3 linked regions of the Nothobranchius furzeri genome follow. The protein of the gene in region 3 interacts with the protein of the main gene of each other region in a pairwise test. Links are inferred from orthologs where the notes say so. Each region holds a gene or a part of one and is shown on either strand. Other genes may lie near its edges. The genes, in order: ubl7b, AP-1 complex subunit sigma-2 and ap1g1.

Region 1 (4,213 bases), about 15 Mb from region 3:
CAACAAGATGGAGGAACTCCAAGCCCTTTCGAGGACTCATCCAGAGTTTCAGCAGTTTCGGAACCGCTGGAGGAGGTAATGCAAAGAAGGATTCTCCAGAGAATCAAGAAAATGATGGACAACCCTGAGCGTTCTCTTCACAAGACTGTCCGACAACGGAAGAGTGTCTTCAGTCAGAGGCTTCTTCAGTTTGGCTGCAACACTGACCGCTACTGGAGATCCTTCCTGCCAACAGCCATTGTAATATACAACAAATCTTTGATGACTTGATTATTATTATTATTCTGAGCTACTACAGCAATCAATTTCCCTCTGGGATTAATAAAGTATTTTTGAATTGAATTGAAGAGGGAGCTGAGCCAGAAAGCCAGGCTCTCGATTTACCGGTCGATCTACGTCCCAATCCTCACCTATGGTCATGAGCTTTGGGTAATGACCGAAAGAACGAGATCGCGGATACAAGCGGCCGAAATGAGTTTCCTCCGTAGGGTGGCCGGGCTCAGCCTTAGAGATAGGGTGAGGAGCTCGGACATTCGGGAGGGACTCGGAGTAGAACCGCTGCTCCTCCGGATCGAAAGGAGCCAGTTGAGGTGGTTTGGGCATCTGGTCAGGATGCCTCCTGGACGCCTCCCCGGGGAGGTGTTTCGGGCATGTCCTGCCGGCAGAAGGCCCCCGGGTCGACCCAGGACACGTTGGAGAGGTTACATCTCCAATCTGGTCCGGGAACGCCTTGGGGTCCTGCCGGAGGAGCTGGTGGAGGTGGCCGGGGAGAGGACGGTCTGGAGCTCCCTAGTTGGGATGCTGCCCCCGCGACCCGGACCCGGATAAGCGGAGGAAGACGACGATGATGACAACGACAGCTCGGTTGCTTCAAGCACAATTTTGAGCAGTTTCTAGTATATGAATTGCTTTATTTGCTGTTTCCATGTTTCTTTTCTATATGTGGACCTTAAAATCCATCTTACAGCTGCAGAACTCTCTTTGGACAGAAACATATTTGTCTTACCGTGTTTATTTATTTATTGTACTTTGGGAGTTCTGCTCCACAGCTGATGAAGGTTGTGCTGCCCACTATTTACCAACAAAGCTCTAAATGTGAGTTGATACCACAATGTGCTGAAATGCAAATATGAACACGTGTCCTTTCAGAGGGATGTGCATGATATGTATTTAGTATAATCACTAGTGAGGCACCGATGTGAAATTTTTGGGCCGATACCGATAAACTGACATTAATGCTTCTAAAACCAGCAGACTTTGTATAGATAAAAGTTATTAAAGCTGAATTTACTTTATTATGTACGCACAACACACACATTTATGGTTCCGAGATGATTTCATTCACTGTTCACATGACTAAACAATTACACATCACCCCCCCCCCCCCCCCCCACACACACACACACCCTCTGAAACAGGCAGACAAATGGCAACTAGTTGGAACAAAGATTGGTAGATAATATCGGCCCGGTTTCATTTATCGAACTGATACCGATACGTTAAAAATGACTAACAATGGCCGATACCGATATGCTGTCCATCCCTAATAATCACCATCTGATTAATTATATATTTGCACTGAGAAGGACTTTTTATAACTACCAACACTAAACTTGATCACTTGTGCCGGCTTCAGATGGAACGTAGAGAGCTGTGAAGGTAAGATCCAATCTAGGTTTGTAATTAAAACCGGAAATATCAAATGTGTCATCTATAATGATCACCCATAACTCAAATGCAGCTCTTTTAGATGTTGAATACGTGTCTGATACTCAGCACAGCTCTGTGAGGTCCATGGATCCTCTACTTACGGAGTCTCTATAGGCTGAGCTGAGAGAATGAAGAGCAGCGTGGAACACCTTGAACTCCCGAGCTGCAGTTGCTCTGTTCACAGGTTCTACGCAAATACAAAAACAAAATGACACACATTCAGATTCATGAATGCATTCACGTTTGTTTTAAGTGACACACAAGCGGACAGAGACCTGGACTGCTCTCTGGCTCTGGCCACATCCTTTTGAGGACATGTAAGGTGGATCCTGGCTGAACTCCACAGGCATCCAGCGTCAGATCATCCTTTAGCTTCCGGCCACAGTGAACCAGCTCTGGTCAAAGCACAGACAGGACAGTTAAAAACTCCATCTGACTACCTGCAGCTCATGCGGACAGACCTATTAGTTCAGGGTCCGGGACGGAGTCCGGAAGCTGAGCTGCTACCAGCTGCTTTAAGGTGGCCACTCTGTATCCTCCAGGTGGGACGTCCCCTGGCATCATCTCTGGGAAGTGGAAAGTGGATTTGGGCTGATCCACCAGCTTCAGGGACAGGTGCCAATCTGAAGAGGCCATCTCGAACTTCTAATGACAGAAAATACAACATCCACATTCCTGGATTACAGAGATCGATAGAAAACGATGCTAAAGCGAGATGTTCCTCACGTAAAATGTTACACGAGTGTACGTCTGTTTACACATAAGTTTCCCAGAATAGCCAAGACATAATGTAAACCAACACGGTTCACTAACATTATAAAACCTAACACTTCTTTTCTGCAGGCTGACTAAGGAAACTGTCGACTAGCTGCCTAGCATGTCCTTCAGAAACAAGCGATTTGCTACGTTAAACGTGAAAGTTTCATCCAGTGTGATCAATTAGAATTACTTAACTAACGTTTAAATAACACAGACCTGTCAAACATAAAGGCTAGAAACGCCGAGGACGATGGTAAAAGTGACTCACTCACCGTTTGCTGTTGACAATCAACTCACTTCCTGCTTTTGGTCACGTGGCCTGTGTTGCGTTTCAGTGCACTGTCTGAATGCTGGAACTTTTAACATCACCAAAGAAGCGCAACTCCCCTTTTCACGCTAAAGAAACATTCGTTGATATTTGTTCTCATAATTTGTGGCAAGTTTAATAAATCGAAACAGTAAATGATAGATAGATAGATAGATAGATAGATAGATAGATAGATAGATAGATAGATAGATAGATAGATAGATAGATAGATAGATAGATAGATAGATAGATAGATAGATAGATAGATAGATAGATAGATAGATACATAGATAGATAGATAGATAGATAGATAGATAGATAGATAGATAGATAGATAGATAGATAGATACGTTAACGTTAACATAATACCCTCACCTGTTCTTTTACAAATAAACAAATTAAATAAAAGTACATATTGTTTTGTGTAGATAAAGTAAAATACCCCTTATGTAACTATTATTTCCGTAAATAAAGAACAAATGTGTATTTTCTAAGTAGTTATAGTAGTTAAATGAGTTAAAATATACAGTAACATTTAACGAAATTAGGGTTTTTATAAAAAAAACTATTTCTGTTTAATAACCTTTTTATGAATAAGCATCAAAGTCAGTAATACATGACTAGGATGGTGTGATGACGGGCTCCAGCCGTCCAGTAAACGGTTAACCCCGTGTGTGGGGGTCGGTACCGGGGGAGGCTCCGCATGACATCACCGCTGGACAAAGCAACAAGGAGTGGTTTCTTCTAGGAGAAGCTTCCCAAATCAATGAAACATCCCGAACTCGGACGATTGTAGATTTAGAGACGAACCAGAGTGGAGCCGGTTTAGAAGAGCTGACTTTGTGGAGGAATGAAGTTCTGCAGAAGATAACTCCTCAGAGAGAGAGAGAGAGAGTCTCCGCCGCTGGACGGTCGGTGAGTTTCGGGCTTTGCCTCCAGAATACGGTCATGGTTTATAAATAAGTATCTAAACGAGCAGAAACCAAGGAGATGCGAGTATTCATGGAGTTAAGAGTGTTTAACTTCGGTGAGAAAACGAGCAACAGCTGTGGAGGAAATAAGAAGTCACTGAGCAGCAGGAGGACCAACTTCTGCGTTCAGGCTCGAAACTCGCCTTAATTCAGCTTTTTTCTCTCTGTGGGAGAAACTCAGAGGGTCTCCAAGCCCCTCCAGCATCTAAAGGTGATGAAAACTACAGCATGAACGCGCAGACTGCGCCCTCCTCTCACCGGAAACCCTCCTGCACCAGCATCAAAGCCATAGTTCAGATGTTTGGGGTTGGAAAGGCCTGCTAAGGAAAGTTTTGGTCAATAAAGTCTCATTTCTAGAGCTTGTTATTCTACCATGGTGACTGCAGGGACTTTTAAATGGCTCTCAACTGGGATGAAGTATTGTGCGCTAATATAACAGATATAATGCGCATTAATAGGCTCCTCT
Region 2 (4,018 bases), about 18 Mb from region 3:
CACTCATGGTGGTTATACAAACACAACACTGACACGGTAAATGAGGAGAAGACACAATGGAGGCATGGATGTGATCAGATCAGTGTGAGAAGCAGGGGGATTTATGTCAACCCAATTTCTTCTAAGACACTACGTGGGGCCTCTGCTTCCTGTAAGAGTAAAGAGAAAGTATCAGGACACCTGTCACACATTTTATACATAAAAATATCAGCGTTAGCCACAAAGTCAACACAAGCTTTAACTTGCAAAGAAGACAGCTTTCAGGCACACGGTGATGTGGTGTTTAGGAAATGATCGTACCTCCTGCAATAAGTCGGCTTGCTCGATGGCCTTCAGCACATTCTTTTTGGATGTTTCCTGGGCCTCTCCGCCCAGCAAGAACTCATCCAGGATAAAATAGGCCTTCTCAAAGTTGAAGATAATATCAAGCTCACACACCTATAGGACAAAAGCACCATATAAAAAAACTACAGAAGGTCAGGGAAGATTCCATCTTTGCAGCTTCTCAGCACTACAAATGTGTAATATTTGCAAAACTCACGCTGCCAAAATATTTGTCCAGAAGCTCCACGTATCTATGGATGATTTCCAGGGTGATCAACTCGTTATCTTGATCCTCAACGGCGCAACAGAAGTACAGACTGGCATATCTATTTATGTATGAAGAGAGCAGACATGCAAAGATCAATAATAGCAAAAAGGGTGGGACAGCATTTGTATTTTCACAACTTACATGCATGTTTGTAATTGTTAATAAAATGAAATCCTAAAACGGTTTCTCACATGATCCTCTATGGCACAAATCAAGCAGCTGGATTCCTTACAAACATGTCCAGATGCGGCCACATGACTCCCATCCTGAATAGCACTGGCTTCCAATCTGTTTCCGAGTTCAGTTACATGTTTTAACTTTTGTGTGTGATGGCTGTAATGGTACAGCTCCCCCTTTAGAGCTGATCCTGTCCTATGTCTCCTCCACATCTTTGAGGTCTGCAGATCACCTGCTCCTGTGTGTCCCTAAATTGCACTACAAGTCTCAGGAGCAAGTAGGGCTGGGCGATATGGCCTCAAATCTATATTGCGATATAATCTGAAGCATGTGCGGTAACGATATATATTGCAATATTTTTTTCCCCTCTGTTAATACATGTCAAATTGACATGCTTTTAAATATCCTCATGTGACAAATATATGCCACTTGAGGCATATAGGCCTCCTCCTCCGCAATATCGCGGTATTGCGATATAGCCAAAAACACTATCATTAGCCAATTTTTTATCATTTCTACCTGATATCGTTTATATTGCCCACCCCTAGGAGCAAGTCTAATTTGCCAATCCTAAACTCTAAATTCACTCGTTACATGTATGGCAGGCCCCATTAATAGCCCGTTTTAAGTCTGTTCTTAAGGCCCACTTTTATCATTTATCTTTTGGTCAGTAATTAGGTTTTTCATCTTTTACCATCTGCCGTGTATGTGTGTTTTATTGGATTATGTTTTGCTGCTCACGTGTCTTCATTATTGTGTTTTTGCTTTTCAAAGCCCCTCCTCTTTTAACCTCCTTGTTCATGTGGTGCATTGTTTTAGATATTATACCTTGCTGTGTTTCTATCAACTAGATGTGATGCCGTAATGTCAGACATTGTTGTCTGTCCTGTAACTACGGAGCATCCTTGTTCCTTTGTGAAGTACTTTGGTCAGCTGTCACGATGTTTTTAAATGTGCCATTTACATAAACACGGTATGTATGAGCTACTTTAGCCAACTTTTTCTAGACTATTTCTGAATTTGCTGATGAAGATGCAGTTTTTAAAATAAATCTATAAATATTTTAACATGGCAACAAGTAACAATAAGCATCCAGTTGAAAAGACTTTATTCTCACATTAATGTTTATATAAATTAGCTGTAGTGAAAATCATAGAGAAACGTTTTTGTTTTTGCAGGTCTCACTAAATTGATGTGAAAAAGCCTGTAAGTGAATATTTTAAGCAGATTATGGTCAATTTGAGGAAAAACAGAAGTGTGTGCATGCATCATCAAGTGTGAGGGTACTTGAATGCCCTCTAAAACTTTTAACTTACCTTTTGTACACAATCTTGAGGTCTCTCCATTCCAAGAAGCTGCACATCTTGGGCTTCCTGGCCAGAATGGTCTGGACCAGGTCTCTCGAGATCTTCTTCCTCTCCTTGTCAGACAGAGGAACATACCATTTCTGTAACCGCAGCTTCCCCTGCCGGCTGAACAACAGCATGAACTGCATCTGAGGAAGGAATAATGATGGTCGACATGTAGATACAAATAAATACGAAGAACAAAGGAAGACTGGATGTTTGAGGGTATATGGATGCGGGAAACTGAACTAATCACGCAGCAATGAACGTGAGGCAAAAAGTCAGTGAAATTAGATTTGACTGAACTGTTTACTAGGATACATGGAGGTACCATTCGATCAAACGACTTTTAGACTCAGTACATAACACACCCGTGAGGCTTTAACATAACGTTAGATTATCTCACGTTAGCTAAGGTCGCTTAATTGTCCTATTTTAACATCTAAACCACGTTTCGTGACATTTGCACCCCCTCCTGCGACGCCTGCTTAGCTACAGCAAACGAGACTGAATACTCATGACTTTTAATTTGGTCTGCAAAACAGTGACTTACACGAACTGAACTTCAGTACAGTAAAGTTAAAAATATTACCATAGAGAGCCAAAAGACACTTCTATCTGTCAGATGATTAGTTCCTCCTTCTGCTCGATGCTAAACTGCCTAGCGAATGCTGGGTGTGAGAACAAGCGCAGGGATTGGTCAACACAGCAAAGATTCTGCAATGTGATTGGTTGAAAGGTTCCGTTATTCCTTACGTTGTACGTCAATCCAGAAAACATTTTTGTATCAGAGGTGCTGAATTTCACTTCCACCAGAAACCTAAATGTGTTATTTTAAAAACAACAAGAAACAACCAAACACACAAGGAAGCGAAGACTTTTTTTAGAGTTAAGCAGCTACATAGATGCGCCCACAGTAATTTCCTATTAATGAGTAAAGTAAAATTAACAGTTGTGAGGGGCAGAGTCTCTCTCTCTCTCTCTCTCTCTCTCTCTCTCTCTCTCTCTCTCTCTCTCTCTCTCTCTCTCTCTCTCTCTCTCTCTCTCTCTCTCTCTCTCTCTCTCTCTCTCACACACACACACACGCTCGCACATTGGTTTTCTTTTCAGATTCTTCAATTGTAAAACCGACCTCTGCTGGACTTTCGTCGCCCTCAAGTGGCTGGCTGTGGTATTACAAAACAACAAAAGTCTTCAAAAACGTGTCATGGTTGTTTTTCTAATGTTTGTGTTAAAATGTTTCACTTAAAATATGTCTCTATTTCGGCTCTAAACAAATAATAGTAAAGATAATTTTGCATATAATAAGAACTATTCGAAGAGAATTTTCATAAAGAAAGTCTCGCAACTTCAATGTACAACAACAACAATCCAAAAACACTTTGATTAGAATATACTTTATTGATCGCACAGTGGGGAAATTCACTTGCTACAGCAGCGCACACACTTGGAGAAAAAGGAAGAAAACAAATAATAACAAGATTACAGGTAAACACACAAACGCAATAAGCTGTTATTGAATACTTCATCCACTAAAAACAATGAATAAAAATGAAAATTGTGTTTCCAGAACTATACAGCACAAAGGACACAGACATATTAAAGAGCAAGTCACCCCCTACCAGAGTATTACTCCACTCCCACTTCCAGTTTGAAAAATGCTACAAATGCTGTTGCCTAGCAGACTGAAAGGGCGGAGCCACCAACAAATATACACACATACATTTCACACAAATCTGTTAAAAACAGGGTCATTGGCCCAGGTTAATGGTTATGTGATCTGATGGAAAAAACATATTTTAATATGATGATGTCAAATAAATGAATTTACTCAGTAAGGTCCTGACTTTTGAATGAGCAAGAATGATCTTTAGCTTGTTCTGTTGCAGGTTATTTAGAGTCA
Region 3 (4,259 bases):
TTTATAAATTCTGCTCTAAACAAAGAGGAAAGACGTTGTTTAGAAGTATTGTACAACTGTCGGAAATGCCTGTCTGCATTCATAAACAACTACTGTTGTTTATGAACTCGAATGTAGAAATCAAGACGTTTTGTTAGAGGAAAATGAGAAACACTACCTTCCTGTGTTGCAGTCCTCAATGGAAGTTGATTATTGTGATGTTTAAACCTACTAGAAGAAAAACATTTATTACATAAATGTCTAATTGGTGTGGCTATCTTGGAGGTTTGAAAAATAGAAATAAAACTCTGTTGGTGTTTTACAGTTTCTGAACGGTGAAGGTCCAAACCAACAGCTTGGTAATTACACTTGAGGCTTATGTCATTGTTTTTAAACTAAAGTCCCATTGTTTTTATCACACACCTCCGTATTTGACCCATCCCCATAGAGGGGAGCGGTGAGCTGCAGCAATGGCTGCGCTCAGGAACTATTTGGTTGTTTAACCCCCCAATCCAAACCCTTAAAGCTGAGTGTCAAGCAGGGAGGCATTGGGTCCCATTTTTAAAAGTCTTTGACTCGACCGGGAACTGAACCTTGATCTCCCAGTCCCAGGGCGGACACTCCACCGCTGGGTCACTGAGCTGGTTAATTACGTAGTCCCGGTAATACCGTACACCGTGGTAAAATGTGGAAGAAGCTAGACGGTATTAAAATTTGGATACCGCCCATGACTAGCAGAGAACATCTAGGCTAGTAGAAGCTAACTGTTAACATTAGCAACTCCACCACACCACACAGCATAACTCCTCCAGGGTTGTGTTATTTGTGGAGATAAACCATCAATGTTGCAAAGCAAAAGGAGTAAGTGGTAGAGTTGTGTTGTTATCCAAAGACAAAATGTCCAAATATCAGGAAATAAGAAGCTACTTTGTCCTCCAGTAGAATTCTCTGCTGAAAAAGGCACACCAGAGCTTTTAAAGCCTTTTTTTAAAGATTGTGGTTTTGTGGAAAAACCCAAGAATTCACTTTGATCAATGGAGAAGCTGGACAGAAAAGGCTACTTTAATAAAGCCAGAGACCTACTGTCTGTTCCAACACCATTTAAATGAGCTAAGCAGAATGGACCCAAGTGTTGGGCTCCATGAATCAGGTCTCTAGCTGTGTTTATAATCAACACAGAAGGTAAATCCAGCCCCTGATGTGAGCTGATTAAACTACTTTTCTATACTTTAGCAGACCAAAAGTATACTCAGTAACAAAAAAAATCTACTTTAATAGATTTTTCTTTTTTTTTGCTGCCATATTTGTATTCAGATATAAACAAAACAAGATTAGCTTTTCCCATGTAATCCTACAAAAGGGTGTTGATTCGAATGCAACACTCTTCTGCCTATACTGTTTATTTAACCCATGTAAATCTGGCATATGTGGCTGTTTAAAACTGTTTTCCTATAATAAAAAAAAGTCTTGTTGCAAATACTTGATTCCACAAACTGAAGGAATAAAACTTGAATTCACTTTGTAACTTCTTCCTTGAGACTAGTAAATGGAGTTGCAAAGCCCAACCCCATAGCATTACTGTTGATTTAGATGATAAATTGAATCACAGGAAGTTCAAAAGTTGAAAGACTTTAAACTTCCAAAGTACTTTGTTTGCTGTATGCTGCAATCTAAACACAAAGTTGGCCCAAAACAAACAGGCGAAGACAAATAAGATCATCTCAGCTACTTGTATACAAATCATCAATCACCATGAGAGCACTGGCTCTACCTGAAGCAGTAGAAAAGGGTGGTAATGTTAATGTGACAGGTAACGTAAATCCACCAGGTACCGAAGAATGGCACATGCCTCACACTGGTTAGCTCACTTCCTTCTTACTGTTGACTTCCCACAGATCAAACGTTTTCAAGCTACAGGTGAGGTGACACTAACATGACACACATATGTGATTAAATGAGTGAATCTGAATGTAGCCTTCTTCAAAACGTCAACACCTAATATCATAAAACTTTAGCAGATCACCGTCTACGTTTTAACCACAAAGCTTCCTAGATACCCGAAGGCTTGTTGGCTAAAAGTTTATAAATCATTTAAAGAAACGCAGTCCGACGCCATTCCCAAATATAACACGGTTGTGATTAAATTTGCAAAGGCAAAGCACACTTTTCAAAACAAGCCATTGACGAGCTAGTGCGCGTTTAAAGGGCACGATGATAGTTAATCACTACAGCGTCACCTTGACTGACACTATTCACCTAAACTATAATTTACCTCTATAGCATTACACAAAATGGACTAAATGGTGAAAGGGGGCATTAACCTGCGTCTAATCGCCAATTGATCAGGGCATGATGCAGTTAAGGCCTTCTTCAAGCATTTGGATTATCGAGCTAGCGAGTCATCCTTACCGTTAGCTAACTAGAATGCTCTGGAAACGAGAGAGCGTTTGTTGGTATAAACGCCTTTAAAAGGATATTAAAAATAAATTCAGAGTTACAAGTTGTCATGATGTTTGTGTGTTGGTGAACAGTGACACTGGTGTACCACCTAGCCCAGCTAACTTAGCTGCTGACAGGCACAGCCCCGGTGCACTGAGGGCTGCCACTTCCTATGCAGCGCTAACACTGAGTTAACACCGTAAATACAATCAAAACACAGATAAATATACATCGTTAAAGCGACGTATGCACATTTATGACAAAGTGTTATTTACTGAATGTACTTACAAGCCGTAATGACGCCAGGAAAGAACTGGAATCGTCTCTACTAGCAATGAAGGGAGGAACACACTAGACATGCAAAATGGTGGCTACTCCAGCCTCAGCACATCTACCGCAGGCGGAGGGTTACGCTGGCGGAGGTTGGTGAAAGAAGGTTAAAGCAAGCAAACGCAGCATATAATAGTCGGAAATTTTGCAAACGTGAACGAGTCACACGTTTGTAAAAATTGTAACTCCTAACTACTTTAGATATCTAAAGATGGTTATTGTCTGAAGTAATCCCCATACATTTTTAACATGCTGAGCAAAATATTGAGATACAAACTATTTAAATTCCGTATTTCAATGCTTCCAGATAAATGTTTGTACGAAGCACAGTAATTATTTTGGGAGATTTTTACATTTGCAAGAAGCTATTGTTATTCACGTGTTAAAATGTAATTACATAGCTCATGTGCACTTTGTTTATATGTTACAACGACCTGCCAACAACGCAGACATCCAGCTCAAGTTACATTAACGTTAGCCTGGACCAGAGCTCATCACAATCTGCCTCTGACCGAGACTCACACCTGATATGCCAGTATTAACTGGACATTATGGGTAATAGTTTAATTATGCTTTCGTTATCACAAGAAATCTGGCTAGGTGGATGAATTCTAAACCATTTTTGTAATTTACCTGTTCATGCATTGCCTTGCAAGCTTACCGTTCTCGCAGTGATTCAAATAGCTAACATTTTGTTGGTTAGCCAGCTATATATCGTTAAAACAATCTCACTCAGAAGAGTTCCGTGTGACTGAACATTGCGCCTTTCTGCTCTGTTGTAAGATGTGTCTTGTATCGTGTCTTTGTTATACACGAATCTCATGACACCTTGATTATTGTGTTGGGACGGCATATTTTCGTTTAACCTTGCGGAGGAGTACGTTTTTGCCGTGTCAGTGTCGTGCTGCGGTCAGTTTACTCGTGGCATTCAGTGATGACGACTACATCAATGTTATGGCTATAGGAGAGCAGTGGTGTGTAGCGCCACCTAGTGTTGTTACTGAGCTGTCCAAGAAACCATTTTTTAATTGCATTACCTGTTATGTAAGGTACTGCATCCAGTTTGTTTTTGCACAATTTTATGAATGTATTATTAAATATACATTTATTTTACAGTTTATTAATTAATATGGATTTATTATTTATAGTAATTATATAACCCAATTATTATTAGGAAAAGTTAGTGCATTTAACGCTAATTATGTGGATTGTCGTTAGGAATTTTCGGGTCTCGGCCACAGTTTAAACAAGTTTTTTTAATTACAAGGCACATTTGTATGAAAACAACAATAGAACGTGTGTAAGAGTAATTATACAAATGCAGATGCTCAAGTGGCTCCAAAACATACACCAGGGGGCGCTGCAGCATTGCATTATAGTACTATGATTAAAAAGTCTCGTTTTTAACTTTGACAAACTTAACACTTATTTTACGAAGTTATTTTATCTTTTAATTTTATTGAAAATACTAAGTTAACACAGCTCTTCTGTTTTTACATGTTTACACTTAA

What was found.
Region 1: the proteins of ap1g1 (region 3) and ubl7b interact in binary tests that used the Homo sapiens proteins (3 or more experiments, as listed by UniProt). The two-hybrid records come from large-scale screens. The link is inferred for Nothobranchius furzeri from reciprocal best matches to the Homo sapiens genes AP1G1 and UBL7.
Region 2: the proteins of ap1g1 (region 3) and AP-1 complex subunit sigma-2 interact in binary tests that used the Homo sapiens proteins (3 or more experiments, as listed by UniProt). The link is inferred for Nothobranchius furzeri from reciprocal best matches to the Homo sapiens genes AP1G1 and AP1S2.

What each region holds. Positions count from the first base shown.
Region 1 is NC_091749.1:74,652,420-74,656,632, forward strand, and holds the start of ubl7b (ubiquitin-like protein 7b), read right to left. Parts: upstream 2,831-4,213; 5' UTR 2,742-2,830; exon of another isoform or gene 2,686-2,741; intron 2,356-2,685; 5' UTR 2,347-2,355; coding exon 2,172-2,346; intron 2,106-2,171; coding exon 1,986-2,105; intron 1,898-1,985; coding exon 1,812-1,897; intron 1-1,811.
Region 2 is NC_091749.1:41,412,242-41,416,259, reverse strand, and holds the start of AP-1 complex subunit sigma-2, read right to left. Parts: upstream 2,818-4,018; 5' UTR 2,711-2,817; coding exon 2,708-2,710; intron 2,265-2,707; coding exon 2,086-2,264; intron 651-2,085; coding exon 542-650; intron 439-541; coding exon 301-438; intron 150-300; coding exon 102-149; 3' UTR 1-101. UniProt on the Homo sapiens protein: Subunit of clathrin-associated adaptor protein complex 1 that plays a role in protein sorting in the late-Golgi/trans-Golgi network (TGN) and/or endosomes.
Region 3 is NC_091749.1:59,385,946-59,390,204, forward strand, and holds the start of ap1g1 (AP-1 complex subunit gamma-1), read right to left. Parts: upstream 2,823-4,259; 5' UTR 2,707-2,822; intron 1-2,706. UniProt on the Homo sapiens protein: Subunit of clathrin-associated adaptor protein complex 1 that plays a role in protein sorting in the late-Golgi/trans-Golgi network (TGN) and/or endosomes.